Lepisosteus oculatus: one gene and its partners. The protein of the gene in region 2 interacts with the protein of the main gene of each other region in a pairwise test. Links are inferred from orthologs where the notes say so. Each region holds a gene or a part of one and is shown on either strand. Other genes may lie near its edges. The genes, in order: znf366, cep70, lamtor5 and atp5po.

Evidence for each region.
Region 1: the proteins of cep70 (region 2) and znf366 interact in binary tests that used the Homo sapiens proteins (3 or more experiments, as listed by UniProt). The link is inferred for Lepisosteus oculatus from reciprocal best matches to the Homo sapiens genes CEP70 and ZNF366.
Region 3: the proteins of cep70 (region 2) and lamtor5 interact in binary tests that used the Homo sapiens proteins (3 or more experiments, as listed by UniProt). The two-hybrid records come from large-scale screens. The link is inferred for Lepisosteus oculatus from reciprocal best matches to the Homo sapiens genes CEP70 and LAMTOR5.
Region 4: the proteins of cep70 (region 2) and atp5po interact in binary tests that used the Homo sapiens proteins (3 or more experiments, as listed by UniProt). The two-hybrid records come from large-scale screens. The link is inferred for Lepisosteus oculatus from reciprocal best matches to the Homo sapiens genes CEP70 and ATP5PO.

Annotation. Positions count from the first base shown.
Region 1 is NC_090698.1:24,357,550-24,364,377, forward strand, and holds the start of znf366 (zinc finger protein 366), read right to left. Parts: upstream 3,005-6,828; 5' UTR 2,886-3,004; intron 1-2,885. UniProt on the Homo sapiens protein: Has transcriptional repression activity. Acts as a corepressor of ESR1; the function seems to involve CTBP1 and histone deacetylases.
Region 2 is NC_090707.1:6,583,080-6,590,398, forward strand, and holds the start of cep70 (centrosomal protein of 70 kDa), read right to left. Parts: upstream 3,022-7,319; 5' UTR 2,982-3,021; coding exon of another isoform or gene 2,963-2,981; intron 2,548-2,962; coding exon of another isoform or gene 2,525-2,547; exon of another isoform or gene 2,496-2,524; coding exon of another isoform or gene 2,472-2,495; intron 2,424-2,471; 5' UTR 2,208-2,423; coding exon 2,145-2,207; intron 1,752-2,144; coding exon 1,652-1,751; intron 806-1,651; coding exon 682-805; intron 1-681.
Region 3 is NC_090700.1:37,465,816-37,473,837, reverse strand, and holds the start of lamtor5 (ragulator complex protein LAMTOR5), read left to right. Parts: upstream 1-5,015; 5' UTR 5,016-5,136; coding exon 5,137-5,171; intron 5,172-5,644; coding exon 5,645-5,706; intron 5,707-6,313; coding exon 6,314-6,431; intron 6,432-7,176; coding exon 7,177-7,237; 3' UTR 7,238-8,022. UniProt on the Homo sapiens protein: As part of the Ragulator complex it is involved in amino acid sensing and activation of mTORC1, a signaling complex promoting cell growth in response to growth factors, energy levels, and amino acids.
Region 4 is NC_090710.1:18,233,981-18,241,749, reverse strand, and holds the start of atp5po (ATP synthase subunit O, mitochondrial), read right to left. Parts: upstream 3,018-7,769; 5' UTR 2,949-3,017; coding exon 2,922-2,948; intron 2,231-2,921; coding exon 2,180-2,230; intron 977-2,179; coding exon 866-976; intron 1-865. UniProt on the Homo sapiens protein: Subunit OSCP, of the mitochondrial membrane ATP synthase complex (F(1)F(0) ATP synthase or Complex V) that produces ATP from ADP in the presence of a proton gradient across the membrane which is generated by electron transport complexes of the respiratory chain.

The DNA of each region.
Region 1 (6,828 bases), on a different chromosome or scaffold from region 2:
TGGATACACCCTGGACCGGACACCAGCCTATGGCAGGACAGACAAACAGAAACAGACAGACATGCACACATTCACACCGGGGCAAATTTGGCAGAACTGTAGGAGAAAACCAGAGCACCTGGAGTAAAACCACACAAACATGGGGAGAACGTACAAAGTCCATGCAGGTGGTGCTCCATGTCCGGAGTTGAACCAGGGGCCCCAGCGCTATGAGGCAGCAATGCCACAGTGAGCCAGCATGCTGCCCCATAGTAAACAACAGATGCTAATTACAAAACACAATTAGAACAACTTTGAAATCCTTCCCGTTGTTAGAAATCCACTGTGAAACTGTGAAAACTTGTGTTCTTGAATTTCCATCTAACTGGAGGATTAAGGTACTGTACATCAGGAAAAGGATTTTCGGAAATCAAGCTGCACTGTGTCTTACATCCTGGACAGACAAATGTTAGGTCAGCAATATCCAAATTGTATCTTCAACAACTTCCAGACACAGTACACACCGTTAATGCACCAGATGCTTAAACTAACTAAAACAAGGATGTCCCATATGGTTTAGATTGTTGGATTTTCTTAAGTGAACTATCAATTTTTCCTGCAAAAAACCTAATGATACTACAGAATGATTTGCTGTCTTTACATTTTGTATGCATTCTGTAACTTTCTTCCAAAAAAATGGAAGTGACTGCATTAGATGTTTATTCATGCACTGAATTAACTATTCCAGAAAAAGGAATTTCCAGAACACAAAGCTGAATAGGAAATAGATGCTTAATGATGTCAGTTAATGTAACTTGTCATCAATGGACCTCAGAACAATAGGCAACATCCCTTGAACATCATATGGTTAAATAGCGCACAGGGCACTGTAGTAAAACGTGAAAATGACAACATTGGTCAACAGATGAGTTATTATTTAAATATTCTCAATAATAAAAACGTTCTTATTATTAGTATGAACAGTAGTTTTGTCAATGTAGAAAAAAATGTTTGTTTTCATTTTGTCCTTATTGGCCAGGAGTTTTTAGAACTCCTGAACAGACGTTGTAAGGTCAAATCCCAAGAGAAGACACCGATGTTGCATTCTTGAATGAGTTTACTTTACCCAGATTGCTCCTACAACCTCAGCAGTGAAACATGGGACCAAAACATGCATGGAAGAAAATATTAATTATAATCTCTGAAACTGATCTATTTGGTTACAAGCATCAGTCAAGTAAATAAAAAAAACGTAGAAATAGTTCCTCAAAAATCAGCAGTGGAAAAAAAAACTGGCACAACTCTAAGGCTTGTAAATTAATACAGGATGACGCACTGCTTCCATAATTACAGTTTTATGATATAGAGTACTGGTACTTTGATATGTGTGGTCAAAATCATTACATTTCTCTCACTTACATTTAATTTGTACACATTTATACAATACTGTATATGTACAGCACTTGAATTAACTGAGAGCACAGAAACCAGAAGGATTCCAAAAATAGTAATGAAGCTCAGCTTCAAACTTTAGAACATGAAGTCCACAGATAATTTCTTCACATGTGAAGCTGAGGTATGCAACAAACTGCCACATCATATTGTGAGTAGTGAGCTATTGAGGGAAAGACTAATCTTAGTGATGCTGATGTTGACAATTATATATGGTCTTCCCTGACTTCTACCCTTTCTTAGATTTTACAGTGTGGCTAAGAAGTTATACCAGAAGACTAACAGCAGTAAGTAATTACACCCTACTGCAGTTGCTCAGGTAGATAAATAGTAATTACATGTAACTGGTATTAAGAATACTAAATGAAAGGGTGCTTTTTCAGTGGTGAGTGCAAAAATGGACTATTACTAACAATTTCTCCAAAACTATTTAAAGCAGTTAGGAGAAAAGTTACGCTGCAAAATTACATTTTAGCACCTTTTAATGCGTGTGACTATTTGTGCAAAAGTGATTCTGCTGAGAAACTTAGAATTCTTGTATAGTACTTAGGATCTAGGCCTATTTTTTTAAAAGCAACCAGTATCATATCTAATTGTAAAATTAGATTTACAGTTGTTGCACTTTTGGCACAATTTGCATTTCCATCATTCAAGATCAAACATCACATAGCTAACTCATTTTGAAACAGGCCAGATCAACATTTGTATGTTTTCTCATTAATCAATGTTTTTGCTTGTTATAGCTGAAAATATAAAAGATTAAAAGCTTTTGTAAAAGATTTACAAAAATAAAATAAGACTGACAGTGTTCTTTATACAAAATTAAGTTACCAATGATTTCTGAAACACAGACAGTGCATACGCAAAGAAACTGTGCAATACTTTTTCTTGGCTTTATATTTAAGAGCACAAAGAAGCTTTTCTACCACAGCACTAGGAGTGAGGATGCTGGGACGTCAGAAAACCATGCACAAACCAGGTATCATAAACTTTGTTAACTGTAAATAATTTGGTGCAGGGGAAGCTACATGCCATTTAAGCAAAAAGTAACTAGATTTTACATTTGCATAGGCATGTCATTTTACATCATCCCATTTTTATGCAATCACTTTCTCCCAAATATTTTGTTTGCTCCAGGTCCTCTCTTCATCTTCCCCAATATACTTCTTGCACAGACACATCCTTCAGCAAACACAATTGGGCCCTATTGATATGATCATGTTTCAAACCGCTGCAGACGTAGTAAGAGCACGTTGAACAATGTCCCTCATCATTTACACATATTCACCGACAGAGAACCATGCAAAAAAGAAAGCTTATTGTGCATTCACATGCAAGAATATATTACATTTACAATGTTATTAAATGGAATTGATATATTTAAGATTCACCCAGCATTTCTTTATCTAAAAGCAGAAGCACATTGAACAGTGATCCAGATCCACATGACTCACCAGGGCTTGCGGCTGAGTGACTGACTGTTGCTCTCCTCTCCACTGTATACCTGCTATTTGTGGGGCTCTCTACACTGAAAAGGCAGAAGTAGTGACAGTGTTTGAAGTGCCTTAAGAAAGAGAACAGGAACAATCACTTTGTTCTCATTTTTCAGATGAGTACCTTCGGAAAGAAGGAAGGAAGGGAGGGGAGAGGAAGTCAACAAGCCTTTGCCTTCCTGAGAAAAAATAAGGAAACTCCAGATAGCCATCTCCATTTCTCTTAGAAATACAGATTTATCTGACTTCAGGAAAAAGAAATGGGGTATGCATTGTTGCCTCCAGTTTATACACTCTTATTAAGCAAGTTTTGACCACTAATGATTATGATAATCAAGAAAAAAATCATTGTTTCATATACCCATCTACTGCACATTCCTAAATAAAGAGGAACTAATATACTGCATGAACAAAGATCATTTAAACCTTTAAACATTTAAAGGTCTTTCAGTCTTTTCTGAACTCAATTTATTTCATATGCAACACCTTATTATGTGGTGTATTAAATGAGGCAGTTTATTACCATATTGCCAGTACCCAGGTATTTACAGTAGCTGCAGTGAGATGTTAACGATCTCTGGTCTTGTTCAGGTTTTGTTTTGCTTTAGTTCTGCACCAAAACACTAAGAAAGCCAGAGGGTGATGTTCTTTAGATATTGTTCAGTATGCTGCATTGTAACATATCTCATGATTATAAACCATTGTGAAAAAAGAGTTTCAAAGATTTTGCCAATCAGACATTGAAGCTGGACATGACTAATGCAGAGTGCAGGCATAAGGATCATGACCTGCCTGTGCTCTTAATATCTCTTAATGAGTCCATGCAGTTTGCTGAAGCCTGAAAGGTGCTCTGTCTCTAGTTGTCTCCAATGAGATGATACAACACTGTCTGTCCGGTTTGCTGTGTCGGCCATCACATTTGCAGTTTTCTGTGCATCAGTGTCATTTGTTGCATTAAGTGGGAGACATCATATGCTTTGTTCAGCTTGGTTAAATGATCTTCTGTCTGCATTTCTGGGTCATAGAGCACAAATCTGATGGACTGTCACTGGTGACTTACAGCAAAGCCCTGGTCCTGGGAACTACTGTATACACCTGCTGGTTCCAGCTGAGCTCTCTACTTAATGAAACTCTTAAATGAATTTTTTCTACTCGAAAGTTGGAGATGTTAAGGTAGTTTGAAACGCAACACTGAAAAGGCAACATCCAGCATGCCTAAGACATTGATGATGATTGTTGAGTTAAAATTATTTTTTTGAATGTAACTTAAGTGTTGTCATGTAACTGAACACTAATCTGGACTACAAATCAATGGGACCAGAACTGTGAACCCATGCCTTAGAGGACATGTTATCTCTTATCTCCCAGGCTGCTGTACAGTAAATTAATTCATTTTTCCTATATTTTAAAGTGATTTTTTTATTTAAAAAACAGAAAAACATAAAATGAAATTATTACACCTGACAATACAAATATATTACAGTTAAAAATGTTTTGTTTAAAAACTAGTAAAAATTAAAATAAAGACATTCTGCAACAATATTAACTATTTTGTATATTTCCTTAGATAATGCAAGCCCTTTCATAAAGACATCACACAAGCATGTTCTTTTACACAGTAAAATGTAAGTAAATGCACCTGCTTGTGCAAAGGAACAGGCACAGCCTTAATGCATGCATTATATGTTGAAGTAAGCAAAAGCTTTTTCTAGAATGTAATTTTAATTTAACACCTAGCACCTTTTCCCCCAGAAGTCACAAATAACAATACTGCTTTGAACTGCTTTGGAAATGTAATATTAAGATTTGATTTGAAATGCCTTGGAATGTTTTGCAATTATTTATTATTAAAGGGGAGTGAACTCCTTTTCAGCTGCTTTAAAAGTGTCGCCATCAGTGGCAGTAACTTCTGTGTTAAAAAGACAATACAGCTACGAGGTGTGGAGCTCCAGGGAAATCCTGGAAGCCAGGTCAGAGTTCAAAGAAGTATTTGTCTTCTTCCACTCAAAACTATAAAAGTAACAAACGTGTGCACTTCCTTAGACTGGTGTTGAACTTTTTGATCAAATAGCTGGTTTACGTAAGGATGACATTTTAAATTCCTTTTGTATTATAACTCATTGCTTTTCAAATTAAATATGAATATAATATTTTTATTTATTTGCATTTGAGTGTGAGAAAAGGCTATGCAATATTCTAGACTAGCTTTTAAACAATCATTTAATTCACTAGATAGATATAAAATGTAGATATAAAATTGAACATGTCCCTCTTTGGTGTCCCAAAAGACTGGAAACACTGTGTCTGCAGTTTTTGTTAATCATTTCTTTCTTTCACCCTGTTTCATTTTTTGTTTCCTCTCCCACTCTGTGTCATCTTAGTAAAATATCTTACTGTTATGTTTCACCAGAATTTCAAGCCAAAACCCTCTTAGACTAAAGCAAGTGAATGGGGTAAGCAAGAGTAAGAAAGATACACAGGTCTCTTTCCAGTAAACACAATTTGCATCAGGTGTCCTGATTATCATGATTGTGCTCATGAATTAAACAATGACTTGAGTTGCATTTGAGAAGGAAGAAATTTAACAGCAGAAAAATTCAAATGGCACAAATACTGTACTACTTGAAGGTGCTGTCAAACTGTAATCAACTGTTTCAGCTGCTGAAGACAGACAGGAAAGGCAAAGTTCACTTTTAAACATTGTTTTCTCCAGTGCCAGACAACTCAGGGAAGGACAGAAGAATCATATTTCCATAGAAGGCAGATCCATTCTAATTTTAAAAAGCTGTAAGGATGCAAGCTGTAACATCCTTTCATCCTTAGGTGCACTTTTATTCCAAATGAGGTAAAAGGAAAATATGAGGCACCTTATGAGGCTGCTACTGTATGCAAGACCTGACACTCACAAAACTATAGTTTTAAATAGTTCAAATTGGTTTGCCACATGACTCATATTCAAATTAGTCTTCCGATGACTCTTGGGTCCACAGTGTTTCATTATGTGAAGCATTTCAAACACATCTACTGTAGGATAAATTACATGTACCACAGCAACATCCCAATGGACACCAATGATGTACAATTGACCACTAATCCAAACTTATGACACCATTTTGATTTATTATTGAATTTGAAAGCAATATCAGATAGATTATAGTTCTGCCTTATCACTTTTTCTATCAGCTGTACTGTCTCATCTGCGAACAATCATTAGGTTGTTTTGGAAACTGCCTCTAGCTTACATGTGTTCAAAGCCCAAGTGACAGAACATTTGGGAAATTAGAGTCCCTGTTTGTAATATGCCTCAAAGAACAAGATTCATAATTGAGTTCAAGGAGAATACAAATTCAAGAAAATGCCTGATGTTTGTTGCATACTACTTACCTTTAAAGAACGTTGCTTGTTTGTGTACCTAACTAATACATTTGAGTAGGGAGCTGCCAATGACACCATGACAATGGTGTCATTGTGCAAAATGCAAGGAATACCCAGAGGTTAATTTGACACATGAATATAGAAAGACCTATATTACTAATGACTTTGCTTCGTATTCCTGATCCCTCTCTTTGTTTTTTTTCTCATTTAAAGATATAGTACTTCTTCAGGTGAAACAATTTCTTCTTTCTACTTTTCAGCAAGGAATTAAGCTTTACTTGTATCTTTGCAGCTCATAGGCTAACACAGTTCCCTACTCAGCCTCTTCAGTTGCTGCTATCTAATGTGCTTCTACAGTACGCTTCAGCACAGAATTAACCTCTACTAGACCCTAACTAATACATTAGTTAAATGAAAAATTCAGTAGGTATCAAGGGACCTCTTTGTACAAAAACACAAAGATTATTTTTAAAGATTAAAAGTTGTTTCAACAATTTATTACACATTACAAAAATATACTTATTGTCAA
Region 2 (7,319 bases):
GCAGAGGCCGGCCAGTTCTGTGCTCACTCGGCTCCCGGCCCCAGTGCTCGCTGGGATTCCAACAAGTACCCTCTCACCTCCGTGCCCGAAGGCCGAGCGGCTCAGGGACCGGACTTGACATCCAGTGGGATTTTCCCCACACAGCTAAAATACAATCGCCATTCCCGTCCTGCATTCAAAGCACAGGCCTTTAAAAGGCAAGACTCCCAGAAGCCTCCAGTCACCTTCCTTTATACAGACCAGAGTCTTTGCTGGGAGTTCTGTGTCTGCTTTCAGAGTAACGTTTGAAACTGTGGTCCTACTTCATGGGCTTCCTTCTTCCCCAGTGCAAAGAGATTTCATTTATTCATGGTGTTGGCAATATGTTGGTTTTCAAAAACTAACTTTTCAGAATGTCTGGCACCTCCAGACCCACGTATGTCGTTTCTATAGTGTGGTGTTGAGGACAAATGGACACAGATTTAAAAATAGGTCTGCGCTGGGTCATGATATAGTTTAACCCCTGGAATCCCTTGATTTGAATCCAATTCAGATACTCAAATACAGGTTTTGTCCTCCTTTACTAAACCCCAAGTGTTTGGGGGTGAGGGCGCTGATGTCTCATTATAAACACTCTCAGCCAATGTGGGTACAGAACGGAAACCTGCGCTGAAGTCAAAGAGAAATGAGAATGGGAATTACTTCAGCTGATTGTTAGTCTGAATCAGCTCCTGGATCAAGGCCTGTCTCCTCTCGGTGTCCTTTAACAGTGTCTTCAGAGCCAGCCTCACTTCGGAAGCAGACCTTTTCTCCAACAGAACCAGATCTGAAAGAGAAGAAATGTCAAATTAAACATGAGAATAGCTTCTTCATGCAACACGCAATTGACAGAGATGGAGATGAAGGATTCTTGGAACACAAGAGGTGGGGTTTGACAGTAAACCCCTGCAAAGGCCAGGTGACTCCGAAGCCACAGGGGGTTTAGGATGTCTAGATGGAGCAGGGAGGTTGTTAATTCAAGCTCCAGGTGCAGAAAACAATGCAAAACCTTAGAAACACGGAGCTCCTTGAGGTACCATAGTAACAGTGGAATAATAACAGAAGCAAACAATAGCGGTCATGTTTGTATCGCAGCTGAGCAGCACAGCTGAGCCACGTGAGACAATGAATGAGCTTAATGATACCAAAAAATAAAAAATACACTGATCTTTGTGATTACAAAACTGAGCTGCATTACTAAGCTACAGAAGTAATTGTATTACATATTATCATTTTTAACTCTGCCTCGATACTATTGCATTTCAGCCAGGCACTGTGTAAGCACTACGCACATGCCAGACAAAATTACAACACAGCCTCTTTCTGAAGCTTCACACTTCTCGCTTCTTTAGTGTATAGGCTCCGTGACCTCAAATCTGAAATCAATTTATAAAGCAATCTGGGTTCACATATCTGAACATGAGCATCAAACAACAAAAGCATACTTAAAACCTTGTGTCAGTCCAGAAATGTATAAACGAAAGACACAAATGAGCACGGAACCATTCGATATTTTATGCCAAACAGTCATGCACCTGCTAAAACAGTTCCCATTCCCATATGACGAGAGGCTCCGTTAACGATTTTGCAGGATGATGCAGACATTGCATCGACCCGCACGACTGTGCCGCACCTGATAGGTTCTTGTTTTCCATGGGGTCTGCGAAGTGAATGGGCTTGAACCCGTGGTGCTGGAGTATCCGGTTCACTGCCTCCCATTCCAGCTGCTCCTGCTGCACAGTGCGGAGAAAACAGCCGCTCAGGAAATCAATCAGAACGGGGAGCCGCGCAGCTGTGGGCACGCCAACATCGACACCTCTTACCACACGCACACACAGGAAATCCGAAATCGGGTCAGACCGAGCGCAGGTCTAAATGACGAGGGTCCATGAAGAAAGCAGGACGGCTCTCCCACACACAGTGAAAACGTTCCCGGAGCAAGGCTCGGTAACAACAAAATAAACCGGTTTCCCTTCAGTTCATCATTGTAAGGGAACAGGATCCGCTTACACCCTGAAAGGCATGACCTTTCGATCCACAGAAAAGGGAGAAACTGCTTCCCAGTGCTCAATCCCAGGGGAACGTTAAGGAAATCCCTGGAGCTGTGCTTGGGGCGCGTCCTGTACCTGAAACTGGCTGCAGGTCCACACATAAACATAGGTCCTGTCCTTCTGCTGTAACGCGCTCATCCTCCGACCCGCCGCGCCTCACAGGACCAGCCCTGTGAAGCCCCTGCCCAGCTCTTTTCTCTCCAGGACTCCCCGGCCGCTGCCCTGTCTCCTGAAGCCGCGGCGGGGTGCTCTGTCTGCGTCTGCAGCGGCCGCCCCCCTCCCCTCCTTCCTACTGCAGCCTCACCCGGCCGGGCCGGGCGTCAGGTTACAGGTGACTGCCCCCCGGCAGGAGCTCTGAATGGGAGCAGAGAGCAAGCACTGTCAGCTCAGGAGCAGCCTCACCGTCCAGCTGCTGCCTTCCCTCATTTTATTCACGGGATAAACCAATATCTGACCTGCTCATTGTCCACTTCTTGACCTGTAAGAAAAAGAAAGGATTCTTAAACTTAACAACTTTCTCCGCATGCTGTGGTATCCTTCCTCCTTCCAAAGGCAGGCAGGATGGGCTAACGTGTGTCTGTGTGTATCACGTACGCATCTGTGTGTGGATCGTATGTGTCTGCATGAACAACACGCGTGTCTACGTTGTAACGTCTGTGTCTGCAAGTGTAACGTGTGGCATTCGCAGCACGGAACAGAATCAGCAGCTTTCTAATGATGGAGAGAAGTCCCCTCAGGTAAACAATAGTATTGAGTGCTGCATTTTGTACTGCAGTCCACTATTTTACATGCCCTTATAGTGTAGTTGTTTTGCTACAACATTTTGGTTTTCAGATACGTGTATGGAAGAGAAAAATGTTCTCAAGGTGACACAGTCCTTTTTATTAACTTACCCGAGCTCTGATGAGCCATGCCTGTGGGATACGGAGTCTAGTCTTCTTCACAAGGTACTACAAATACAAACAAAGCATGAAAAACGACCTATTTTCACTGAGCCCACACAGCCCAAAGCTGGTCCTGCAGTTTCAGGTTCCTGCAGGTTTGAAAGTAATCTTTCACTTAACACCTGGAAAATACAGCTGACTGGGCTTCTTATACACTTAAGGAAGTCATTAAGGCCTTAATGACTTTGAAATGGAACCCAGTCAGACTCATGGCACACTGGGACCTGGGTTGTCAACCCCTACTGTGAAGTTAAGGCTGATAAAGAGCATGTCCCTTCTTTCAGACGTCTGCCACAATGGGTGATGTAAGCCAACAAGAACAGATACAGGTCATGATCTTTCAAATTCAACTGAAAATGTCAATCCACTCCACTGCAGTCCTTCAGACTAACCAGCACCTCAGCTGTTTTACTGATGATTGTCAATCACATCCTTAAACAGCTGGCTGGAGAGAAACCTGACATGGAGTGCAGTATACTGGACTGGACTGGACTGGACTGGACTGAGCCTCATGCTGAACTGCCCTGCTTTCTAGGCCACTGGTTTGCAGCCCCGGTCCTGGAGCATCAGTCTTCTTGGGTTTTGCTTCACTCTACAGGCTAGTTGATTTCACTTTTTGGTTTGTGGCATGTTTGTAAATTTACTTTCAAATCAGAAAAGGTCAAATGTAACCAGTGCCTGTTTCTGAATTTTAGAACAGCCATCATTCAGGTGTGCTGCCTGAACTGTTATGAACTGCAGAGGGAAAAAACTGGTGTTGTGGGGGTGTCTGATACAGTGACCACGCCCATTGGGGGGATGTTCAATAAAGAGGCAATCCAACAATGGATATATCTGATGCAATGTCATGCCCAGTATATGTCTGATAGTGTCCTTCTCACCTGTGGGCGAGTCTGATAGTGTAATTCCCACCTGTGTCTGTTGATCATCAGGTGATCGATAAATTAGAGCTGTTTAGTCAGAAATAAGAAGAGGCAGCATAAAGTTCTGTGTGTTGAAGTATTGGAAACAGAGTACATAGGGTGTAACTAACATGCAAAACCAACCTATGAAACAAGATACAAGTCTAAACAAGAAAGCAGATCAACTAATTCATCGGCTGTTGAGCTCATCTGGAAAGAAAACCAGGATGGCTGGGAACCAAACATACATAAAGCTTGCACCTGGCTTTAATGCAGTGCACATGAAGAACAGCATGTGAATAAAATTCAAACATGAATCTTCTATTACATTATGGTATAATCTTAGCATATTTCCCTTACTTCAGCTGTTACTTTAATTCTTTCTTTTTTTATTTTGTTCTACTCTAAGATCAATATAATTATATATTGCATTCATAAAACCGTATTTAGAATATTATATATAGTTTTGGTAACGGTATTACAAACCCTCTTATAAATACTGCCTCTCCGAAATGGGTTGAGAAAGACAGCTGGGTCAAGGCTGTCCAATACTGCTCTTATGGTGGCCGACGTTTCTACAGATCCTTGTTCCAACTCCACTCTTGATGACCTAACCGTCTGCTAGCTAACGACTTAATTGCACCAATTTAATAATTCATCTCGCGCCACGGGTGCATCTGCTTTAAAAACAGGCAGGGAAGGCCGCCCTAGAAGAGATGAGCATGAAGGTACGAGTGGGAACGGAGAGAAAGTGCACTTCTTCACAGGAGAGGACTGTCTGGGAGTCTGGAGCAAGATGCACACCCCTGTAATTGCAGCCGGTACCCTGGTTTCTGCCAGAACCGCCTGAACGAGACCCCTCACACCGCTGGTTTCGGCAGCCGGGCAAGAACGGCAGGCTGAACAGCCACTCGTTGATATTGACGAGCATTACTCGGTGAATCGCTTGGTTATTTGGGATGGATTTCAATTTATGGCTTGAGATACGGAGGGTTGTGCAGCCTCCATTATTACTGAACAACCTCTAGTCGCAGAAACAGACTCGCTACATAAGACGCTTTCTCAGCCGAGGTTTGTGGGGAAACTGCTAAACAAGACGCTGCGGAAGTAGGCGCCAGAGGGACAGCCTCAGCACCCCGTACTCGCACGGCCAAGCGGCGTCTTGTGCGTTGTCATTTTAAAACTAGCTGTCGCGCACACTTGTTTTAAAAACGTGGATAAATGAAATACAAAAGCGGTCAGAAGCCGTTAAAAGCAGGGTAGCTGAAAGGCTCGTAACCTTACCTGTATGTTGGGCAGCAATCTTGTTTTCATAAATATCCTATTATTATGATGGAACAGTGTTTTGATACCCCCCTTTAATCTTAAGAAATATTTGTATTGCGTTCCTGCAACCCTCTGGGTGCAATCTTACTTTTACATGCGGGCTCGAGACGGTTTGAAATACACAGCGGCGGCTAAGTAAAGCGAAACTTCCCTGGAATTCAACCAATAGGAGAGTACGGAATGGCGATGGCCCGCCCCATCCCTCCACCCCGAGAGGTAATTGGCTAGAGGAATGTGATTGACGGACTACAGCGGCCTATCAAAGGAGGGAACTCAAACACGTGTGCAAACCGCAGCCCCCGCGCGCTCTGTGCGGGACAGTTATTTGTCAATCTGCTGAGACTGTTGTTTGCTCCTCTTGCGTGTCAACGGTGCACAACAATGTTAAATGTAGTCATTTTTTCTATTTCTTAATAAATCCGCTTTTATTCGATGGGGGAGTTATGCTGTATATTTGGAAACTAACTTTCTGCAGGTCCACTGGTGACACAAACAGTACTTTTCCAGCACTGAGGCAGGCAGGGCTTGGGGAATAATTAAATACCAAAATGTTGGGAGAAAATTGCTTCCCAATTCCAGAAGCAACTAGAACAAAATATAATTGATACGTACTGGGGAAAAAAATTTCCACATGCATGCATAGAAAAATTGATAAGTGCCTTTTCACAACACTAACTAATCTCGACATGCAGTCGTGCGTGACTGTATGGCATTGGTACTGAACTTTGTGAAATTGTTTCTGTTTCCTAATAAATGGTGAAATCGGAAACATTGGTGAAACCGATACTCATATAGTTCATAATATGTTAATACTTTCAAGAAAATCTCGGGCCACGGAATATCATTTATTCCCACCCGAATCCGTTTATTGACACGCCCCTTTTGGGCGGGGGCAGAAGGTGTGGTTTCAGAGGAGGGACGTCTGCGATTGGCTACATCCTGAGGGACTGCGAGTTTTCCGGGACGTCTGGACAATCGCGTGTCGCTACCATAGATATGTGAAATAACTCTCAGGAATTCGGGTAGGAAGAAAGGCAGGTTTGTTAACGTAATATCGCGAGGAACGCAGAGATCTTACAAGCCTTGCAGTGACGTCACTGCGAGGTTTGCGTTGTTTTGTGCCTTCTTGGTGTGTGTGAAGAGTGAATAGAACATTTTAAACCGAATTCACATACATATTTAGACACAAAAGGTAACAGAAATAATGCGTAATCGTATTATTCATGTTAGATTACCGACACGATTTTGACACGCTAATGTGTAAATTGCACAGTTAACTGTACACTAGGTTGCATTGCGTTTCCATAGTGACGGTATTCTCGTCTGTTGCAAGAATCAGTTTAATACCTGCGTTAAGCAGCAGGTAAGGTGCAATAAACTATTTCATCGTGATTTTGAGACTTGTAAATGCAATTTATTCTTTGTAGAAACTAGTAGTAGAAATTGCAAACGTGGAGAACCACGTCAAGTTGTTAGTAGGATTCATTTCTTAAATCTGGCAATTTGTTCAGATCTGTGTCCTTTTATCGGTATTTTGCGTAACAACACAAAACAGAAATCAGACAGACGGGAGTAAATGATACAAAAAAACTTTAAAAATATTACCAAATAGAAGATCACGTCCTTCGGCACTAGCAGCCCCATATAAACCTCCGTGTATGTACAGCAGGCAGATGACGTGACTCGGCAGTGTTTTGCGGTGTAGATTAACAATTTCTGAATTCAAACCGCGGATTGTAATTAAATGCATTTTCTTTAAAAATATAACCATCTGAAACCAGTTGATTGTGCCACTAAACTAACGAACAGAAACGTCATTTATGTAAAAAAAGGATTATAATTTGCCCTGGAAGAATGCAGCAGTAGAGTTTTAAACTTTTTAGGATTAAAAACTAAAATTGACGATTGTGTTTAAATTTGATCACGCAGATCTTCTTTTCGTGTTAAAAAGGTGTTATACAGTATTTTACACGTGTCTACTGGGCATTTGGTCGCCGTGCGTCTATTTGTAGCTCGTTGATAAGTCTTGATCATCTTAAGATCCCGCACTCACTGCTCCTAATTAAAGAGCGTTGTTT
Region 3 (8,022 bases), on a different chromosome or scaffold from region 2:
AAAACGAAACATTAAAGAACATTAAAAAACACGTGGCAATGTTTGTCTTTTTAACTCCGGAGTTACTATGGGCCTGATCTGGTCTCCCTAAAGTTCCCCTTATTTCAATCAGTGAAGGGGGGCAGCTGGGGCAGAATGGCTGCTCTGCGTCACCCTGGTGGGGGCTGTACTTCAGAAGTGGATGAAGTGGGTCCCCTCACATGTACTGTTTATGAAGTCCTTTAGGGTAGAAGAAACTCTATACAAATGCAATTATTATTATCTCAAAGTTTTATAATAAGAAGAAGAGTAAATGAATTTACCTCCATTAGTGGTTTTAGGAATAAATTAATAATTCATACACTATTCATAACTCAAATAATGAAAACCTGTCCTCAGTATTTTCAACAAAAAAGAGGATATTTTGAACTACTCTAGTTTTAATCTGACTGTATTTGTAAGTGTTATGACATGAAGACTGCTTTATTCTTTACATGAAACAGCACTAATCTCTCCCTTCAGAGATTCAGAAGATGCATCGTAAATAGCCGTAACAACCTGCTTAACACTATGAACCAGGAGAAAATTCTGGAGCCTCTGATGATAGATGGCTCAGTCCTGTCTCTCAACTAATTGCAGACTAAGTAGAATGAGCAGATGTTCCATTAGTTAATTAATAACAATGTCTTAAAGAAAGGTCACTGGTTGGTAGAGAGACAACAATGAAAATTAAGATCTTACCCCCTGGATTTGTAACTAGGAACCTTCACTCACCTCAGCTATGATCCTGGATGGAAAACCTGTGGTTTGAATGCCATAATGTATCTGTTTTTCTGATCACCTCATGCTGCAAAGAATACTTGGTGTCAGTTTGAGCTGCATTAGAATGATATGGTAGTTAGCCTCACTAGTTTTGGGTTTTGGGTTTTTCTACAGTACTTGACTAACCTCAATACTCATCTTTTTAAAAAGAAGTGCTTAATGCAATTTGGTTTTGTGGAGGAGCCAGAGGCTATCCTGGCAAGCAATGGGCACAAACAAGGGCACACCCTGGACGGAACACCAGTCCATCGCAGGGCACAGACAGACACAGACAGACACAGACATGCACACACTCACACCACGGCCAGCTTACCCACAAGCCAGTTAACCCACTAGTAGGCCTTTGAAATGTGAGAGGAAACCAGAGCACCCTGTGGATGTGAGGAAGTCATTTGTAAGAAAATGTTTGCAATCTTTAAACATTTGACACAAGATTCAGAAAACAGACATGGATACAAACATTAAACTCTAAACACTTGTCATAAATTCTTGAATGAAAATAATTTGCATTATTTCTTCCAACATGGCATAGACAAGAAACGTTATGGGTAGATAAGGTAAAACAAACCATCCTGCCACCAAGAGCTGTGTGAAGCTGAAACAGCCCAGCTAAACCTGTCGGACTGCAATAAAAAGACTTTCCAGTATCAACACAAAAGAACCCGAGTCACCATCTCTGGATATATGGTGCATCTGTTGGTGACCTATTGTACAGCATAGATTCGCGATAAGGAGTTTCATCCATTTGAAACCATGACACAAGGCAGTTTCAGACAGCACTCCCACCAATGCTTAAAATAGAGCTGCTCTTTTCAAAAGACTGAACTCACAAGAGATGAGAATCTGTAAAGAAGATCGCGTGGCAATGCTGTTATCGGTGGTCTTGCAGTGAACTGCTGACCTGAGGAAGGGCCAAGCAGATGGTGGTACGTCTGAATAAAGTGGGTCTGCATTAGTTATAACAGGGGAATCCTGGTACAGCACTGAAGAAATCCATATTTATGAAAATCAGAAAGCAGAGCTTAGTAAAACTCCTCAACTATTACGTGCACAAGTGTGGTTGGTACAGGATGAATTCAGGTTTTTAAATCTCTGTTCCTAGCTTAAAAATAAAATCAGAAGTTAACTGTTCCTCCCCCCCATAACATCCTTTATACTGCATCTTTAATTGGCTTAGGACACATTCAGAAAGAGTTCAACAAAGTGCAAAAAAGTTTGTGTTAAAAAGAAAACTGGAGAGAGAAACAAGAATTTAGAAGAAATTTGAAATAATCACTGAGACATCTTTGTGATCAACTCATTTTTCTTTGTCGTTTGGAAAAAAAGTCTGCTTCAACTCCATAGCAGAAATGCTAAATACTACTGTTTTAATTACATTTACAAATCGAACAGGATGGAGATCTTTCATTTTCTACACATCTGTTGTTTCAAAAAGTCCATGTTATTGCCTGAACCCACAGATTAACAAGGGACTCTAAAGACGAAAATCACAACAAAGACAGCTTTTTGCGAAATCAGTAAGGGCCTGTAGACTGGCTTGAGAAATTTGTCCTGGAGAAAGTCAATTGTTGACAGCTCCTGGTGTTTCCAAGCACTGCCATGTAAGATCTTTGAAAGGCAAATTCCATTATTAAATATTGCACAACCTCCCATCCCTCCAAAACACCCTGAATTGCTACAGTTGATCAAGGGCAGATCACCTTCCCCTTTCATCACCTTCATATGCCAAACCTAATTCTCAGGTGGTTTTCAAATAACAGTCTCACTTCCTTCCAGGCTCTATTCTTTCCCTGGCTCAAGCTCTGCTAAATCTCGAGCTGGTAGAGGTCAATGGTCATTGGATGCCACTCCTCTTCTGTGTTTTTAAACAGAACCTGACCAATTGTCATCCTTCAAATAGTCAGCTGACTGAGGATGGCAAGTTACCCCTACTGCCTTCTGGGGAATGTAGTTCAGGCAAGAATCTCCCTCTCAAAATGTGTAGTCAGGAATAGACTGACTGTCTCCAAGGGCGGACAGTTCTAGTAGTCCTGAATCTTAATCATGTAGGGATGGATGGGTTAGCTCTGATAAAATCCCTGTACATAACAACTCCTTTGCTTTTCTAGGAAAGAAGCTGAGTATAATGAATCCCAGTAGATAACATCTTTATTATGTATGCTTGCCTTTTTGTAACAAGGTTATATCTAAAAGTGCAGAAGCTTGGATGGTATTTTCGGTAAAATGCCCTGATGAGGACTTTTGTAATCCTTTTTATTAGATGAAATACAATGCACTTTCAGTGTGACTAAAAATAGCCAGACTTGAGATAGATGCTGTATGCTGTATTGCATTCCCATTTAAGGGTAGATGCGTGGAAAATAATTAATTCTAGTTGTGGCTGACCTTACTATAACGAGATATGGTATCATTACTGCAAATTAGAAAGGAATCCCCATGATACCGCAGAAGAGAGGGCTGGTGAGTTCATCCAGTTTGCATCACTTCTTCACCTTTCCATTATGGGTCCATCCAGTATTTAATGTTAAAGACTGTTAATGTCAAAAAGCTCATCTGAGAAAGGCTCTGTATGGTGCATTAGTCCATGATCAGGCATGTTATGAAGCTGAGAAAAATAGTCTATAATGAGTGAAAAATTGATTTAACAACACACAAGTGAAACGCTATTACACATGTACTGTGCATATTTGAAACACAGGAAGATGATTACCATATTAATATGTTTACAATATCCTGTAGGTTAAATGATATACTTTATACATGGTACATTCATTCATTTGTACTTTACACTAATAAAGATACTGTGACATTGCCTTCATGATATGTATTAAAAAAACAGGCATAGGAAAAACATTAAAATGTATAGTAGTAATGCTTAAGGAAATCAAACCTGAATTGTTTTATTCCAATATAAAATGGGGAAAATAACTAAAATGGTATTTTCTGAGGAAAATAAAACTTTTTTATTACTATTATCATGATTTGTTTTGTGTTTGTAACTACAGCGACCAGTACGATGGTCATACGGCTGAAGCTCCCCTGTGTACAGTGACCAGTTTGCATTGCTCAATCCACAGCTGGGCATGTGAGGAGAGTGGGAGCTGAATACAAGAATAGAGATCTCTGTGCTCCCTGATCAATGACTTTGACAGCTGGCCTGATTCCAATTTCAATCCATAATTCTTCCTCGCAGGGAAATTAATGAAGCCAAGGGCTGATTAGGTCTGAATCACTCCTCCATGACTAATTCAGGGTTATTTATCAGCGCTCTGTGGGCCAGGACACTGCACTACTCACACAGAGTTGTAGGCACAAATGATGTTCTCTCTAAAACCTGGGCGACTGGCACAGCCACACTCATACCGAGAATGTAATATAAAACAATGTAAGAGCTTAATCTGAGACTCACGTCAGCTCTTGATAAACTGCGATGAACAGTGTTATTGTCACCTTGCTGTTACCTTTGAAATTGATTTTGTAGGACATTTTGGGTGGCAGACCTGAAAGTACTATGGAAAGCAATTTAAGAATCTTATGAATCTTAATGCCAACATCCAAATGTTTACAAGAAAGTAATGCCTTTTCTCTTCATAGGTTTGTTTAATTTAATAGCAGTGTGAGATATACCATCCTCATCAGACCATAAGTTATAATGGAGGAACATCATTACTGTGTCAGTCATCATTTCTAAGAGTATAGGGATGAACTGTTCTAAATTTAATCACTTCAATTCATTATTTTAATAAAAAAAACAAATCAAGACCATTTGTATTCTAGTGCATCCACTGTATTTTTATAATGTTTGTTCCCAAAGCTCAGAATTTATTAAACACCCTTTCAAACTTGATGAATGAAGATGGCCATGTTTAGGAACATCTAGGTTCATAGTTTGAGTTCACATCCAAATACCCTGCCAACAGTCCTCAGTGAGTCATTCTTTGTGGCGCAGAGTGCCGCCTTCTGATTTTCTAAACAATTCTAGCAATTATTATTATTATTAATTAATTATTAATTATAAATAATAATAACACTTTTTCACTTTTCACTCCATGGGATGGCAGGAAAAAAGCTGATTAATGTTTAATAGTGTCTCTAATGTTTAATACATGAAAAACTACATCTTACGTGGTCACTGAGGTTGACTCAATACTTTTGTCTAAATCGTATATATCGCTACGCTGGTTTGACTCTTGTGGGCTTCCGTATAAGGTATTAGTCACGTGTGTAACTGTCAGCTGACTGCTGCCCATAGTGAGGAAAACGTCTCTGTGCTGTATTTTCCACAATTTACATTGTTTTATTTTTGTAATTTATGTTACTGTGAGCCTTTAAAGAATGGAGTCAACACTAGAACAGCATCTAGATGATACGTGAGTTTTTTTTTTAATATAATCCGCTTTTTAAGTGTTTTACTTTGGGGAAAAAACAAACGCGATCTGGAATAATTAATTATCTAAAATATTTGACCTTTTTAAATATAAATTATACATAGACAGCGATTTTAATATATAATCGTTCTAAACATAATTGGCTAATTCCAAAAACGGTACTAAAGTAGTTCCTTTTTACATTTTCATACCCTAGTATTGAAAGAAAAAAAATAGATACCCACGGATTCACTAACAAGTTATCTGAGTTAAAATAATGTATTTGTTTACTTTCAATATGGCTTTATTTAAATATTTGTTTTTATAGTATTTCTATTTTTCGTTGACCCAAAAGTTGATCGCCTGCCTTTACCACTAATGTCGCCAGAGAAAGACTTCAAACGTTTTACTTTCTGAGCGATATCAGGGTACATACGCGCTCTTTAAATGAAACAAATCTGTCTTCTGCCTGTCAGAATGAAGAACCCTGCCATCGTGGGGATCCTCTGCACTGACCAGCAGGGCCACAACCTGGGCTGTGAGTACACACACCTGTCCCACGGGCTGTGCTGCTTTGTTGAAAACATCGCTTTGCCACTACCTGTTGTTTCAGAGTCCTGGAGAGCCGCAGTGCTTCTTAATTTACTTAATCTGTTTACAGTTTACCACCTTTTTCAAGAGTTCAGTTGCATAGAGTTTTCTGTAATGCCTGCAGAATGAAAAATATAGTAAAGAGAAGTGGTCCTTCCTTCGTGTTCTGGAAGGCTTCCTGTGATTCTGGTTTTCATTCCATTTGAGCTGTTACTTGCGAAATTAAATCAATCATTTATTGAAGAGTGAAGGAGTATGGATTGGGTTCCCTTTAAAAAGGGAGCTCTCTAGGACCAGGAGAGAGGGTCGCAGCTACGGGCAGTCCTGAATTTCAGAACGGTACATTAGTCCAATGGGAAGCTTCAGCACGGAGATCAGATGGCCTTGCTGCTGTTCACGCACGAATGGAGCTTCCACAAGCACGGCAGTGCCTTCACAACTGTGACTTTGAGTGTTGGCGAAAAGGGGGGCGCAGTCGTTTCAATACACAGGGTTCAGGTATCTGTGTGCCGGCTCTGACCTGCCCTCTCCTGCTGCTCCTGTCTTGCCATTAGGCCGCGGCACGCTGTCTGATGAGCACGGCGGAGTGGTGTCAGTGCTGGCCAAGCAGGCGGCCCAGCTGACAGCGGACCACACTGACTGCCCCACGGTGTGCCTGGAGTCGGATGCTGGGTAAGAGGGGGCAGGAGGCTCTGACTCTGCCTCGCTGAACAATTGGGCTTGTTAAGTGCACGGCTTTTACTATTTCATTAAGTTACACCCAGTTCTTTAAAAACGCCTCGTTTCTCATTGGTGCGGTTCAACTACATTGCCTAATTTATGCAGAGTCGTCTTACTTAATGTTCTATATGATTGCAAAACGTTTCTTATACCTTTCTACATGTTGTCACATTTTCTTTCCATTTCTCTCTAGGCATGCTACTGTAGGTACAAAATGCTTGTGTTCAGTGTCTGTTAGAAGGGATTTTTTCTGTATTTGCTTCTTTGCTTATACTGCCACCCTGTGGATTTGAACTAAGAAACTGGGGTGTTAGTTGTCTCTGAGTTTTACAAAGCGCCCTGAAAACTCTGCAGTGGGGATGAGAACTTCACTCCTTAAGGGCTATACCGTTCAACAACGGAAGACCAAAACAATAGGATTTTTTTTTTGGCTAAAATATTTCATTTGTTTAAATGAATAAATGTCAGAGGCGAATGAAAACTGCAGGAGCTGCCTGTCTCAGATCTACAAAGTTTTTCTTTTTCCAAAGCTCTGAGGAACTGGGCATTAAACAGGTCTTATGACACCATGGCACTAGTTGTAAAAGAGGATGTTTAAACCTCTCTCATCTCATGCTTGGGGTCATTTATTCCTGGAACTAAAGTCCTTGTTTATTTATTCTTGAATTATGAAAGACACTTTCTCTTCTCTCTGTAGGAACATCTTAATAAGGACACATGGCACCATTACAGTAGCTGTGCACAAGATGGCATCCTGATTTTTCAAGCAACAAGAAAACACTTTACTTGTTTCCCCACCCCCTTTTCTTTGTTTTTTTATGAAGCGCATAACAAACTCCAAATGGTCATCTTCCAATAAAGATAAAAAACAACTGAATAAGCATTTGAATGTTGAGACCATTGGAATACAATTTCTTGTGTTAACAGTTTAGTAACATATTGCTTTGTTTTCATAGAAGGATGGCGTCAGTCATTCAGACACAAAGTTAGACATTGCATTTCTCAGTCATTTGTGCTCAGCTCCTCCATTTTAATGAGCAACTAGTTACAAATAGTTTGGGGATTGTTGGAATGCTTGTGTATGTACACGAGCTTTTCAAGGTGAATGTCTGCTGGCTGCCTCCCTGATAGGTACAGTACAATGTTTCATAAGTTCAACTGATCTGAACTTTGCCCAAGGTCGCCAAAAGGTGCATAGCATGAGGTCATGCTACTGAAAACTGAAGCAAATGACAGCTATGTCATAGTCTGGCCAGCACTGGGCTGGGAAAACAATTTGCTAGTTTCAGTCTTAATAAACAAGTTCTAGGTTACCCTTAAATGTGTTTTTGTCCACCACACCATTGGTGGAGATTCAGTGGCAGAAAATGGAACTTTCAAATGGACAGGTAGCAAAATCTCATACATCATAGAAATGAAGGGCATATTTTTATGATTTGTTGGTTTGAATCATGACTTTTATGAAAGAAACACTGGGCACTTAGCAGAGGATTTGAACTCTTTTTGTCATTAAGCATGTTTTCTGCTGTGCTTTGCTATCTGC
Region 4 (7,769 bases), on a different chromosome or scaffold from region 2:
TCATTAAAAAAACAGTATTACAAATAGGGCTGTTAAAATATTTTAACACTATAGGTCACCAGCAGCTTTCATGGGTAGGTTAACGCTGTCTGAAAGTGACAAAGGCATTATCTAAAGTTCTCGCAATCTATAAAAACAGATCAGACTCACATCTCCTCAGTATCCTATTTACATCACAGATTATTTAAAACAAAAGTGGGATAAACCAAGTGTCTGTTATAAGCTTTACACCTCCACAGGCACTACAATTAAAAACATCTGTTGCCCAGCTCAAAGAAACCAGCAAGAAATGTCAGGAGTACAGAGCCCCCAGAATCATCTCCCCTAATTATTTAAATCCCCACACTGAAAACCAAATTAAAACATAGGCAGGCAGTTGTTTCTGGAGTGTGCCGCCAACTTTATCAGCCTTGACCTTCCTGAAGCCTGCTGTCTGTACTGATTTAAGTCTTTCCATCTTCCCCAAGACATGTTTAGATACTAGATCAAATGCCTTCCACTCATGTCTTCCAACAATCCATAACACATCCTTTAATATTCCTTTATATATTCCTTCCATTAGCCAAAGTCTACAGCAAACCATCATCTCATGCAGCTTCCCACACACTCCAGCTGCATGCGCTGTGGATCGCCTGATGGACTCTTCATGACCCATGATTGTAAAAAGGGCACTTCTCAACATAATATCATTTCAAATGTACCCAAGTGCCTTCCATATCCTTTGGCGTAGCCAATAGGGTGCTACATGAGCATCTGCATCAGGCCCTGCGCAGCACACAAGGTCAGACCATACAATGCTGCTTTGCTGGTGTCTGTGTCACACATGTCCTGTCTGCTCGTGCGCGCAAGAGAAGAGGAGACTTACAGCGACGCGACCCAGCTCCCTCTCCACTTGGTCCAGCTTCTTCTGCTTGGAGGCGGCAGAGAACAGGGCAGTGGCGTAGCGGCCCTCCACACCATACACTTGGATGGGCGGCTGGAGGAAGAGGCCGCGTTAGCTGCGTGTTGCCCAGTGGGGGCTTTCTAGAAGGCGTTCAAACAATAGAGCATCGCCAGTACGGGAACACGGGTCAGCTGCTGTCTGGATACTCCCTATTCCTCCTCCTTTGAAACGGACTGCTCAAGCTGCCCTCAGAAAGGAACACTCCACAAGTACAGGAACTTTGAATCTGGGATGCTCAGTTTGTGTCTTAGGTGGCTTTCGGTTTGAAAGGATCGGGCTGTGCAGACCAGGCCATTAACCCTGAATTCACAGAGGCTTAGCGCACTATAATGTTATAATAATGTAATGTTTATAATGTTTCTTTATTAGCCCTATACAATTTCTTGCATTAGGAATTCATCTTTTCGCATACCCCAGCTTTTCTCCAAGGAGACACAGACAGGGAGAGAAGCTTGGGGTCAGAGCGCAGGGTATGCCATTGTACGGCGCCCCTGGAGCAGTTGGGGTTAAGGGCCTTGCTCAGGGGCCCAACTGAGTAGGATTCCTCTGCCGGATTTGAACCGGCAACCTTCCAGTCACAGACGCAGATCCTTAGCCACAGAGCCACCGCTCCGCCCGTAACTAACAATGTCTGGGAAATTTACAAAGAGGGAGTACATGACAGAGAGAACAGAAGGGAGACAAACAGTTGACTGGGTTGCCAAGAAATCATAAGAGTCCCTGCACCCCTACAGAACCAAACGTAGAAGACCTCTTTGCAGCCCATAATTTTCAGAGGTTTCTCTTAAACTTACTTTTAAGATATTAAAAGTGATATTACTTTTAGAAGTCAGACTCAGGGAAAGTGATTTGTCGAGCATTGTATCCAATGCTCACAACACCACATGTGACTACTTAAACTGACAGGTGAAAATGTTGACTTTTTAAAACGTGAAAACCAAAACAATGAAAATGTTAGTTTTCAGCAGAGACAGCATTCTCGCTCTTTAATCAGCTTGTGGAAGCACGGGATAAATAATAAAAAAAAACTGAAAACATTTTCTGAATTCTATTCAGTTTCCATCCACTTCCATGATGTGAGAAGTGGCTTTGGGCAAAGTGACTAACAGAGGTCTAGGCCAACTCTCTCTGTCAGGTAAGTAAGTAGTGTTTCTGTCCTATCAGACAACACAGATACTCAACAGTCAAGGGAGTCTGTCAAGATGTTCCTTAAGATCACTGTGCCTCTAGTCTTACCTTAACCAGCTTCGCAACAGGCTTAACTACAGTGGTGCTGAAGAGGCGCACCTGCAGGAATGAAACAGAGCTATTAGAGCACCTATTAAATTATTCATCATCCTCTGGTCTGATCTTAAAATTAAGAACTACCTGCATCATTTAAAAAAATAAAATAAACCCTGCGATGTCCACAAGGCCAAAAAACATTTTCCTGGAAAAAACAAAACCTACATAAATGGCTTCTGTCCCACTTCTGCAGTCAAAGAATCAAATCTTTCAAGGTCTTGCGTTTATAATTAAAAGCAAAGAAGAAAAATTACAACAACTCGTTAACTTGGAGATCTAATTCTTAGGATTTCAGGAAACCACTGCTGTAAGAAAGGGGGGTTCCTCTAGTCTAGGTTTAGGGGGGGGGGTGTCTTTACTCTTCGACAAGGGCACTGCAGAGAAGGCCGACACCCTCGGCAGTTTATTCCAAAACGTGATATGCGTTTGATCTTTAGATGGAGCAGTATATCCATCTGGAGACAAAACCGTACACTCAAATTAACACGTAAAAACACGGGTTGTCATATGCACAAGGCCTGAATAAAAAATAGTGGTAGTCTCACTATAATATAATCTGAACACATGCAATAATAACCGCACTGCTTTCACTCTCCATATGCATTTATCATCACCATAGATTACAGAAAACGGACTCAACGCAGTCCCTAAGGAATTTATCTGTCCTGTTAATCCACATTTCTCAATGTCCTACCTGCTGCCCCAGTCCTGCCGCTGCCATTTTCTCCTGTTACTGTGTAGGTCAAACCAAGAGCGCATGAACGGAAGTAGGGTGGCTGGGAAACACAGGGAATTGTGGTTACTGTAGTTTATAACGCAATCGTGCTGTGATCGAAGAGCTTTCTGGTAAATGTAGTGGGCAGTTAAGGCTTTCCAGTTCAGTGGAAAATTACTACCTCCTTAAAACTGAGTCAAGCGCCGCCTCAGACTGTACAGTGGAAAATTACTTTCTGCATCGCAGGTCGAACAGTATGCTTGCAACGGAGTGCGATGCTCGATGGAAAATTACATGCTCGCATAACAAAAATACTGGTACATGATTGGGTATTGGGCTAGTGTGTATTAGTATTTGGTCAAGTTTCTGTTTCACAGGAAACGCAACTGTGTGCTGTAGATTGAAGTAAGCAGACACACTAACCGGTTTACAGCCCATGTGACAAGATAAATCAAATATAATCACCAACGAGTCAAAAGCTTTTTTATTCTAAAACTATTCACGTGTGATTTACACGTGTTTTGCTATAGCTTTATGTTATGTAAAACAAATCAACTCGATTATCATTATACCTACAAGCATATTTATGTGTTTTGAAACTCACTCTCATGGAAATATTGAGTTCATGTGCCCAAAGATGTTATTTGTCTTAATTATAAAGAATTAGACTGGAAAAAAAATACTGCAGAATTTTGGGACTGAAGTCTTAACCTGTTCCTGCTGACATCGTAACATGACTGGCTTCTTCAGAAGGTAAATTTGCTGCTGGGTCAAAGCCATTCCGCCTGAGTCTCGCAGGATTTGTCAGTGCGTGTGTAATACACGGATTCCTAGCACGCTACAGGTTTTCACCAAGCGACATTTACCCCGTCACTAAAAAAACCCAACAACCTCGGCCCCATTAAAACTGTCACGTCGCGGTTAATTTCACTGAGATGCAAAGCAGTCGCTCGGAGCGCCTCCAGGTGTCGCGTTGAACGCTGTCAAGTAGCGAGGCGGCTCGCCTTGTGGAATTTTCCACGCTGTGTTATATAGCGCATGTGATACAGTCCTGTTTACATTCACAGCGCATTGTTAAAACTGAGCCCCCCCGTGTACCACCGTGTATCCTGTTACTTTGAAAAAATACTACATTCTCCTTGGCTCTGAACGCACTTGGGATACTATTTCATTTTATACGTTTGTGTGCAGGTTTGATGAATCATTATCCCCCCCACCTTCCTTTGTCATCTTCTGAAAATGTTTTATTTGTACTAAGAATCTAAATTTCATTAGATTCCGAGCATTTCACAGACGCAGTGTGTTAAAAAAAAGTGCCGGCGGTACTACAGTAAGTTTATGTGCAGTCAGGTAAGTGGATTTTTAATTTAATCGTGCGCAGCTGTAATTTACAGTACTGCATGTGTCACAGATGGGTGACCCCTAAATGCAGGAAAAATATCTGCTTTTGAAGCCGACTATGCCAATTCTATCAATTTAGCTATTTCAAAGGATGCCAGGCCCTTTTTTTTCCCTGCAGCAGGTTCTTTTTATCACCCAGAACCACTGGCGCCCCCCTCAGAAAAGACAAGACAGTCATTCTACATAATTTCCCTTTTTATTACCCAGAAATTAGGGAAATTGTATCAAGGCCTACCCAACAGAACATAACTCACAAAAGGTGTCTCCAGGGGACACACATGCCAGGCCAGCACCAGAACCGCATGGACCCTAGTTACCAAAAACCCAGTGTCCAGGGGAGCAGAAATGAAGAAAAAAAACTCGGTTGCCATGTTAGGCATCCTCTCCAGTCCCGGTGGACGCGAACTTCGGTTATGGGGGTAGGGAAGATAATGCTCGGGCTTTTCTTCGCTGCTCTCTGTAGAGCCCCTGGTGTCTGAGTCCCCTCCCGGGTGCTATGGAGCTAACTGCTCCTCCATTTTCTGCTGTCGCTGTGGCTTCTGTGTGACCCCTTACTGGGGCTGTGAAGGCTATGAAGCCCTTATCGATTCAGAGCTCAGGACTCATTATTGATGGGGAGGGGTGTACAGGTTCATGCAATGTCTTGGGTGTGGGCAGAGCTAATTGCCTGGGACTCATTCACCAACTGACTGTGTGCAGAAAGACAGCTGTAAAGATGCATTGTGTATGTGTTCTAGAGCTCCCCTCTCAGCCTGAGGCCCAGTTAGACCTGTCTCAACTTCCTCCATGTCACGTCTGAACTGTGTGGGAATTAACGAGTGCCTACACAAGGACCTTTGATCAACAGGAGGAAGCCCAAAAGGACAAGGGAGACACTGGCCATTCAGCGCAAATTTCAGGTTAACATGGTTCCTGATACCTGTTGTCCCACAGAAATGTTTTCACTCTGTGACCTATGCAGCAGTCACTGGGCCGGTACTTTGTAATGAAGTCATGAGTTTATTGTCAGTATCTAGAGGGATTAATGAAGCTGTAAACACCACCCATGGAGTTAAAAAATTCTTTGGTGTCTGGGGTGGAGAGCTGCAGTTGTACCCTTGAACAAGGAAACCCCCGTTATCATCAATGTCTTGCTGCCTGAATGCCTCTCTGGGACTTCATTGAAAATGAGAAATGATCAACTGAATTATCTGGTTAAAAGAAAGAAAGTAAAAGACGGTGCTGTGTGAACTCAAACAGATGTTTTTGATCCGTCCCTCACTAGTAATGTGGAAAAGATTGTGGGCAGCGATGAATCTATCATTAATGATAATGAAGTCTGCTGGGTTTCAATTTCTAAACATTTGGCTTTTAAAGCATGTTTCCCAAGGAAAGATGTGAAAGTTGGTACAATTTCTGGTCCCCAGTGCTGGCACAGCATACTGGGGAAAGATTCACCTTTTATTATTTACTGTATTTTAAATTAACCATAAAACAGGTACAGATTCACCTACCCCCATTATGGCGAGCCTCTGCACCCAAGAACATCAAAGTTCCCACTGGCTGGATCTACTGTGGGCAGTACTGTAGGTTTTTTTTGTCCACAATCATATTCGAACCTTTTTTTTTTTAAGAATCCATCTCTTTGAGTTGAGTCAACAAAGGCCCAGTGAAAAGGTCTGCATACCTTTCTCCTATCCCGAAGAAAGACTGAATCTTTATGAAACTGCAACAAACATCCATTAATTAGAAAACCTTCTGGCAATGATATTCCGACACCTACGGACAAGGAATTCGGCCTACCTGTCAGGAAGACACTACCGTCCTTGGGAATGGCAGGGGCGGGTGTGACCGGGCCCTCAGTGTGTGTCTCAGAAGGTTTGCCAACAAGACAAATGTGACAACCTTTAACGCCCTTCACAGGCCTGTGTGAGGGGTGATATCCTGATGTATTAGAACTGTTGTCAGGCTCATTCTTTAAAAGAGCTGGACTTTTCAGAAACAGTAGGGAGACGTATCAGTAGGACCCAAGTGGGTACCTTCTACCTACTTGCACAGCATAGCCCTTGCTCTCTGATGCTGAAACGTTGGTAATAGTATGCCTTTTTCTCATCAGGATTAGACCACTGTAGATTCTATAGATTATTAACTTCCTAGGATATCTCCTACGGTGCTAAATAGGCTTTAGCATGTCCAGAATGCTGAAGCTCATGTGCTAAATGAAAACACTCTGCATCAAACTATAAGTCCCATCCTCTGAAAACTGCACAGGCTACCAGTGACACAGAGTGGACATGCAGGTTTTGGACATTTCAAACTATTTTTTACTCTTTTTAATCTTGTAAAAATATTTAATTTGAAAGGAATGCTAAAAGTCTCTATTAGAGATTTTCCCGTTTAAAAACCTCTTTTCCGTTTTTCCACTGAGTGATAGTAGATCTCCTCTGTGATTCCTGATCTGATTGTACAGATGCTAGATTAGTAAGTAACACATTGGCCTTTCTGGGTGTAAGAGGACACCTAATTCCTTTTTCAGCAGACTGATATGAATTCAGAGTAAAGTACAGTGAGTCATCTTCCCTCTGGAAAAGTATACGATTGTAAACAACTCATTTATTGATTAAAAATGAATTATGAATCATCTTAGGAAAATAACACATACAAATATTTTACATGTATAATTAATCAATTAGATTTATTAGAATATGAATTCCTAAAAATTATATATGCATAAAACACTGTGCAAATATACTCAAAGAAGGAATCTCAGGTTATGGAATCCCCCTTTCCCCAACTTGGTCTTGATCAACCTTGGTCTTGATCTGAACCCTAAAGAATTAATAAATTCCTGAGGCCTGATAGTATTTATTCAATTCAACAAAGACAAATGAGACATATTATTCACCAGCCATTAACAACAGTCTTTCAAAGGCAAACAAAAATGCTGTGTGCAAGTGCAAGACATTTCCACTGGAAAAAAAATAAATCACACTGTAACGAATGGTTCAACCACTGTATGGAAAATATTTTAATGACACCACAGGGGGGTCAAACGATCCAAGCTGTCTTTAATCCTGTTTCGCATTTAACCACATTTCCTGCCACTGAATGAAAGCGTTTGTGTCAGCTGTGCTGCTATTAAATGCTATGTTAACTGTGCAAACTGGGAATATCAGGCAATTCAAATTCATTACTGTATAGATTTACATTTTTAAACATAATTTACTGTACAACAGAGATATAACATGATTCCATTACCACAGAGCTATCTTACTGCATATCCTGTGGGACTGCATCATGGCATACTATAGTCAAGTGTAGGTATTGCTATAGTGCAATATGATAACTAATTTTTAGTGTCTGTGGTCAATCATGGTTCACGGCAATATCCACGTTCCTCCTGAAGATTGTAATTAAGTAAATTGAAAAATTGTGAGGTCTCATGAG